Tamandua tetradactyla: one gene and its partner. The protein of the gene in region 1 purifies or fractionates together with the protein of each later gene. This does not show direct contact. Links are inferred from orthologs where the notes say so. Each region holds a gene or a part of one and is shown in the gene's direction. Other genes may lie near its edges.

Region 1 (3,945 bases):
CAGGAAGGATTTCGAAAGGAGGGTTCCCTGAACCTCCGCACACGAGCTTTTCGTACTGCAGTTAGAGGAGCTCCTGGGGGCTCGGGTCCTGAGGCCCTGACGCAGCCGGGGACCCCCCCTCCAGCCCGAGGCCACCACGCAGCGGCGGGCGCCGGTGCCTCGCGGCCGCGCCCCCTCTCCTCCCGGCTCCTGAAAGGCGCTCGGGAGAACCTCGACGGGGCGCAGCCTCCCGGGCCGCTGGCGCCGGGCACAGGGCGGGGTCCGGGGGGCACCCGCCCCGAGCCCCGGAAAGGGGTCACGTGCACACTCCTGCGGGCAGGAGGCTGAGGCAGGTTCTCCCTCAGAGACGCGGGTGGGGGTCTGCGCGGAGCAGCGCCGGTGGGCGCGCCCTTCCCCACGAAGTTCCCCTCAGCACATCTCCCCTCTACCTCACGCGCCACGCCCGTCGCCTAGGCGGCCGCCCTGGAACATCCGGGAGGGGCCGGGGGGGGCCTGAGGGGGGCTGAGGGGGGGCTGAGGGGAGCTGAGCGGGACCTGAGGGGGGCTGAGGCGGGGCCGAGCGGGACCTGAGGGGGGTTGAGGGGAGCTAACAGGGCTGGGGGGACCTGAGGGGGGCTGAGGGGGGGGCTGAGGGGAGCTGAGTGGGACCTGAGGGGAGCTGAGGGGGGCTGAGGCGGGGCCGAGCGGGGCTGAGGGGGGCTGAGGGGGGCTGAGGCGGGGCCGAGCGGGACCTGAGGGGGGCTGAGGACGGCTAACAGGGCTGAGGCCCTCCCCCGGCCCCGCCCCCCCGCGGGCAGCAGGCTAGCATCCCGTTTCCCCGCCAGGAGCACGCCGTGTCCACGCGCCGCGGCGCCCTCGCCGATTGGTCGCGTTGCTGGTAAACAAGGGCCGGGCAGCCAATGGGAGGGCTGTGCACGAGGGCAGCACGCGCCCATGGCCCGGCGCTCGCGTGGCCCTGCCCGGCCCGCCGCTATATAAAGCGGCTTCCGGGCCGGGGGCGCTGTGTTTGCAGACGGAGGGCCGAGGGGCAGGTGGGGGAGGACGCCAGCCTTGTTCTTGTCTCACCAGTGACGGACTTCCCGCTTTTCGCGTGTCTTCGGATAGTGAGCGTAGTTTGTGGGCGTCTCTGAGTCTTTTGTTTTGTTCTGGAGAGCCGCCTGCTTCAGGACCCCCCTCTTCCCTGGAAGAGTAAATAACCTGGTCACCGCGAAGGGCCCTCGGCGGTCTTGGGGCGGCCGGTCTGTCCTCCGTGTCTCTCGAGCCGCTCGGTGCAGCCATGGTGATGTTCAGGAAGATCAAGTCTTTCGAGGTGGTCTTCAGCGACCCCGACAAGGTGTACTGCGGCGGGGAGAAGGTGGCGGGCCGCGTGCTAGTGGAGGTGTGCGAGGTGACGCGGGTCCGCGCCGTCCGGCTCCTGGCCTGCGGGGTGGCCAAGGTGCTGTGGACGCAGGGGTCCCAGCAGTGCAAGCAGACCCTGGAGTACCTGCGCTACGAGGACACGCTGGTGCTGGAAGGCGAGCCGGCAGGTGAGTCCACTCCCCAGCTGCGCCCTCGGGCCCCGCCCGGGGTGAGGGCTGCAGGGCGGACGCTGGGCAGAGAAGAACCCGAGATGAGAAAATGAAGCCTACCCCCATATTTAAATTTGCTGAGATTGCCTTTTGCTTTTTAAGTTTTAATTTGCCAGCATGCCTCTCCCCAAGGCGGTCTGTACAGTGCCTTAGGGTGCCTGTCCTGAGGCCGTCCAGGGGCCTGTGCCCTGTCCCTGGGGCTGTCCCCAGCTTTTCAAAGCCTTGCCTAAGGCTGCACCTCTGCTTGCTCGCGGAGATGACAGCAGGTGTGTCTGTCCTCAGCGTGACTGAGCCTTGGAGCGTGACAGGGCTTTTCAACTTTCTGCTGCAAAGAAATGCACCAGAATCCTTTCATTTAGGAGTGTAAGGGGTGAAGGGGGGGCATTGCAATACCCTCACATGCTGTCCAAGCATTTCTTGTCACACAGATGTGTTTCAAGTGTAACAGGAAATCTCATGGGTGCTTACCTTTGCTCTCCCTTCAGGTGAGAACGAAATGGTGATCATGAGACCTGGAAACAAATATGAATACAAGTTCGGCTTTGAGCTTCCACAGGGGTATGGACCAGTCAAATGTACCTTTAAACCCTTCTGTCTTTAAAAATCTTCCCTCCCTTCGGTCATTTACTGTTTTTGGTGAACGTATCAGAATAAATTGTGCTGTTTTTCTTAACATAGGCCCTTGGGAACATCCTTCAAAGGAAAATACGGGTGTGTAGACTACTGGGTGAAGGCTTTTCTTGACCGTCCCGGCCAGCCAACTCAAGAGACGAAGAAAAGCTTTGAAGTGATGGATCTAGTGGATGTCAATACTCCTGATTTGATGGTGAGGCTCATTTTAAGATCTGTCCTCCTGAATTTCGAAGGTGATACATTTTGGGCATTGGATTGAAGTGCCTCAGGGGATAAGATCCTAGTCTGAAGGGAGGAGGGAAGCCTGCCTCCTCTAGGGAAGGAGTGAAAAGGTGGGAGAAGAATCTCTAGATAATCACAAACCATTCTTCTGCCCATTGTACATAGGCACCTGTGTCTGCTAAAAAGGAGAAGAAAGTTTCTTGCATGTTCATTCCTGATGGACGGGTATCTGTCTCTGCTCGAATTGACAGAAAAGGATTCTGTGAAGGTAAAAACCTAATGCCTGAAGTAGTAGACTTTTAAAAACAGGGACTCTGAGTTTGGAGGAGGGGGTTGGGTGGGAACTGGGAGAGGAGAAGTCGTTGACTGTTCTGAGCATCAGTTAAATTTGTGTCTTTCTAATTGCTAGGTGATGAGATTTCCATCCATGCTGACTTTGAGAACACATGTTCCCGCATCGTGGTCCCCAAAGCTGCCATCGTAGCCCGCCACACCTACCTTGCCAACGGTCAGACCAAGGTGCTGACGCAGAAGCTGTCGTCCGTCAGAGGCAATCATATCATCTCCGGCACGTGTGCGTCATGGCGTGGCAAGAGCCTTCGCGTGCAGAGGATCCGGCCTTCCATCCTGGGCTGTAACATCCTGCGAGTTGAATACTCCTTACTGGTGAGTGGGTAGGGATGGAGGGCTCTAGAGGAATTGCTCGTCTGTCATGACCACAGCAGGCTTTTCTCCAGACTTTTAGTCTAACATCTGCCGTTTTCCTTCCTAGATCTACGTTAGTGTTCCTGGCTCCAAGAAAGTCATCCTTGACCTGCCTCTGGTCATTGGCAGCAGGTCGGGGCTGAGCAGCCGGACCTCCAGCATGGCCAGCCGAACCAGCTCCGAGATGAGCTGGGTGGATCTCCACATCCCCGATACCCCAGAAGGTGAGCCAGACCACGTGTCTTGTCTTCCTCTTCTGGCCTGCCTCTTGGGAAACCGTGTGTGATGGCCAGGCATCTTATCCCTCTGATTTCTTTTTCTAGCTCCTCCTTGCTATATGGATATCATTCCTGAAGACCACCGATTGGAGAGCCCCACTACCCCTCTGCTGGATGACATGGATGGCTCCCAGGACAGCCCGATCTTTATGTATGCTCCTGAGTTCAAGTTCATGCCACCGCCCACCTACACTGAGGTGGGAACTGTCATCTTTGCCACCACCTTTGTCTGAAGCCTTCTGTATAGGGTGTTGATTTGGAGGGATTGCTAAGGTGTTTTCCCTTTTGGTTCTCACCCGGACTAAAATGGTCTTTCCCTTCTTACTCCAGGTGGATCCCTGCATCCTCAATGGCAATGTGCAGTGAGGTGGAAGCAGCAGCTGTACCTGTGTGTTTCTTTCCACCTCTCTTTCTGGACTCGTCACATTTTCAGAGGCTCAGCTGCCTCTGCAGTGGGGTGTGGGTGTACCCCAGCCTTTGACTCCTCTGCGCAGTAGGGCGTCAGCAGGGACACGCCTGGGCCTTAGTGTGTGAGGATT
Region 2 (3,600 bases), on another chromosome or scaffold:
ATTTCAAGGCACACTTTAGCAAGTTGTTATAGAACAAATTTCAAGGTATGGTATGGGTTACAGTTTCACAATTTTAGGTTTTTCCTTCTAGCTGCTCCAAGACGTTGGAGACTAAAAGAAATATTAATATAATGATTCGGGAGTCGTACTCATTTGTTAAATCCTATCTTCTCTGTTATAACTCCTCCATCTCCCTAGATCCTTCTCCCAATCTTTAGGGATATTTGGGCAATGCCCATTTTATGATATGTATACACCACAGTTCGCCCTTCTTAAAATGGTTAATTTTGTTTTGTTTTACATGAATGTCACCAAAAAAAAAAAAAAAAAAAAAAAGAATAAATGAAGGCAGCAAGGGTATGTAGGGAACAAGGCTGTAGGAAAACAGAACAGATACATGGCAACTAGAGACAGGCAAGGGACTAAGTTATCACCATCTTGTACTCTAATTACAAAGCTCTTGACCTTTTTTCCTGCCAAGATTCTTGACAGGTGACACATCTATGGGCATACCTAGGGTTCTTCACAACTGTCAAGGGGCTAATAAATTATAACCTTTTATCTACCATTCAGGAAAGCATATTAGATTACAAAAAGGGAGAGGGATATGAATCTGATTTTATATTACAGATATGCATACATAAAAGTAAAATATATACTCTCAATAAAATATAAGTGTATACTTTAAAAATGTAAATCACTCATGAAACATTGATGTTCTTGTGATTTTTAGTAAGTGAGAACTTGCTACACCCCTCACACTAACTGCCACACAGCAGACTTGTGGATCCCTAGTCCTATTATTTCATGAAAATAATTTCTAAGTAAAGACAAGAATGGTACCCAAGGGCAAGACTCAACGTTGAACTGCTCTAGCACAGTCAGAGTCACATCCAATGCCTTTGTGTTCTTCCTCCAGGCATGCAGATTGGCGAGTTGAGCTCAGACTAGAGCTTAGTCCCTATTAACCCCTGGGAGGGGAGCATCTGTGCAGTGGTAAAACCCGCACAAGTGTACACAGTGGCAGGCTCAGTTTTGAGAGCATGAACTATCTGGTTTTGGAAAGTCCAACTCTGTGAGTAACAGTCTCTCTGCCTTTGCCTATGATGCAAGTTTGTTCCTACCCTCTAAGACCACATCCTTCCTGACTCCTGTGCGACTATGCCTGCTATAAATTCATCACATTTCCTCTTTTGCTGTTCCTGAAGCTGGTGTCTGGGTGAGTTCAGGTTGGTGGAGCAGGGTGGCCAAAAAGATCAGGGAGAAATGGGAAGGGTATGTTGAGGGTTAGAATATGTCTTGGTTGGTGAGCTTGTGCTATATTCTGAGACACTCCAAGACTGTCCTTCAACAGCATTTCTGGAATATTCTTTTATGTTTATGATTACTCTGGGCTCCATGTGTGTGTGTTTGTGTGTATGCAAGTGCATTTGTGTGTAGTGGGGAGACAAACACAAGGCAGAGGCAGTAGGGCAGGGACAGCAAACACAAATTATACCCAAGACTTTAGTGGGTTTGCCAAGCATCCTTTCAGAGGATTGGATGGATGAAATCCATGTGAGGAAAGAAACCTCCTTAGAAACCAAGAGGTAATAATTAGAATGGAGTATACTTGGGCTGGGTTTGGGAAACACAGAGGAGAGGTCAAATCCTGATATGGTCAGTGTGGCATCAAGGATGATTGATGGGGCAGGACCTGTGGAGAGTTGGAAGAATAAATGGACCTGTCTGGAAGGGTAGGGGGGTATGAGGCCAGGAGTGGAGAGGCAAGAATGATGAAAAATGGAGAGATGAAGTAGCATCTTAGTTTCCTACAGCTGCTGTAATATCCCAAATAGGATGGCTTAAAATAACAGAAATTTATTCTCTCACAGTTCTGGAGGCTAGAAGCTTGAAATCAACATGTCACCAGGTCCATGCTCCATCTGAAACCTGTAGGGGAGGACCCTTCCTTGCCTCTTCTAGCTTCTGTTTTTTTTTGTCAGAAATCCTTGGCATTCTTCAGCTTGTAGATGCCTCACCCTGCCACCTTCATCTTCACACGGCCTTCTCCCCATGTTCATCTATATCCAAATTTCCTCTTCTCGTAAGAACTCCAGTCACTTAGTTCCCACCCTAAATCCAGTTTTTCTTCATTTTAACTATCATATCTTCAAAGACTCTGTTTCCAAATAAGGTTGCATTCATGGGATTGGGAGTTATGATTTGGACATATCTTTTTTGTGGGAAACACTTCAAGCCACAATATAATGACATCAAACTGCGGTCATTATAAATTCCAACTTGGAGAGTATTCCAGCTCGCTTGGCCTCTTCTTATAATGTAATTTAAAGCTATAAGGTGGCATAGTGCTTTTATCATTTTTTGCTTCTGTCTGACTAAAACACTTATTTAAGTTTTAGGCAAAATTCTTTTATACATTTTCAACTTGTGAAAAGTGTAGTTAGTAGCAGGAGCTCTGAAATTGGGTGACTGGTTTAAATCCTGGCTCTACCCCTTCTTAGGTGTGAAATCCTGGGCAAGTCACTTGACCTCTATTCTGCCACCATAAAATAGGAAGAATAATATACCCAACTCATAGGGTTTAGTGCACATTAAATGTGAAAATACATCAGTGAAGAACCTAGCACCTGGGAAGATCCAAATAAATGTTGTCATAATTATTATTGTGATTTTTGTCAGGAAACATTCAAGTGATGTACTTATTATTCCCTCTTGTGCTTCTCAAATTCCATCTAATTTCAGTTTCTATCAACTCTTGAGTTATACATGATCCTTTCCTCTGCATGCTTCTATTCTCTCAACCCTTCTCTCCATTGCATATGCTGATCTGTTGTCACAATAATTCTGCATCTCCTATCCTTACCCTTCTTTTATCTTTCATGCATTTTTCCTTCAAAAACAAGACATGGAAATAGAGCTTTTCAGTTAGAAGAAACTTAAAAAAATCTTGTCTGCTCATTCATTTTATAGAAGAGGAAACTGAAGTTGAAAATCAGTAAAGCGTTTGTCCAAGTCATAGCCCACTATGGAAGCAAAATTCTCTTGATGATAGGTCAAGTTGTCATCATATACTGGTTGGGAGATTGGGCATACATTACATTGTTAATGAGATTAAGTTTGTGTGTTGAATTTTTTTCTTTCCATAGGAAAAGCTTTCTTTTATGACTTTAGATACTCTCAGATCAAACTAACAGAAAAACTTTCTGGTAAGTAATTTGGCTCATTTCTTTTTTCTTTTTCTTTTCCTATCTTTTTTTTTTTTTTGCTAATAAGCTTTCATTTTATCTTTTGTTTAAAAAATATTTTTATTGAGATATCTCATGCACAGTCCATCCAAAGTATATAGTCAGTGGCTCACAATATCATCACATAGTTGCATATTCATCACCACAATCATTTTTAGAACATTTGCACACTCCATCATAGTAAAGCGCTTTTTTTTCTGTTCAGTTTTCTGGGGTTTTGATAATTTAATTTTCTTTGGGCAAGTGGTTCTTTTAAAAAGAGTCTCCTTATCTAGATGCTGCTTTGTTTGTCTGACGTTTTCAACTAATCCCAGTGTGGACCCATGCCCATGGACTCTGACTGGAGCTGCAG

Evidence for each region. Proteins that work in one complex are often made in the same cells at the same time.
Region 2: the proteins of TXNIP (region 1) and NLRP3 purify together in Homo sapiens (affinity purification with western blotting, with the first as the bait; 4 studies listed by BioGRID). This does not show direct contact. The link is inferred for Tamandua tetradactyla from reciprocal best matches to the Homo sapiens genes TXNIP and NLRP3.

Annotation. Positions count from the first base shown.
Region 1 is NC_135330.1:1,467,857-1,471,801, reverse strand, and holds the start of TXNIP (thioredoxin-interacting protein), read left to right. Parts: upstream 1-988; 5' UTR 989-1,276; coding exon 1,277-1,526; intron 1,527-2,053; coding exon 2,054-2,126; intron 2,127-2,246; coding exon 2,247-2,394; intron 2,395-2,588; coding exon 2,589-2,691; intron 2,692-2,832; coding exon 2,833-3,089; intron 3,090-3,195; coding exon 3,196-3,352; intron 3,353-3,451; coding exon 3,452-3,603; intron 3,604-3,736; coding exon 3,737-3,772; 3' UTR 3,773-3,945. UniProt on the Homo sapiens protein: May act as an oxidative stress mediator by inhibiting thioredoxin activity or by limiting its bioavailability.
Region 2 is NC_135346.1:61,881,063-61,884,662, forward strand, and holds the start of NLRP3 (NACHT, LRR and PYD domains-containing protein 3), read left to right. Parts: upstream 1-1,132; 5' UTR 1,133-1,219; intron 1,220-2,770; exon of another isoform or gene 2,771-3,149; 5' UTR 3,150-3,209; intron 3,210-3,523; 5' UTR 3,524-3,600. UniProt on the Homo sapiens protein: Sensor component of the NLRP3 inflammasome, which mediates inflammasome activation in response to defects in membrane integrity, leading to secretion of inflammatory cytokines IL1B and IL18 and pyroptosis.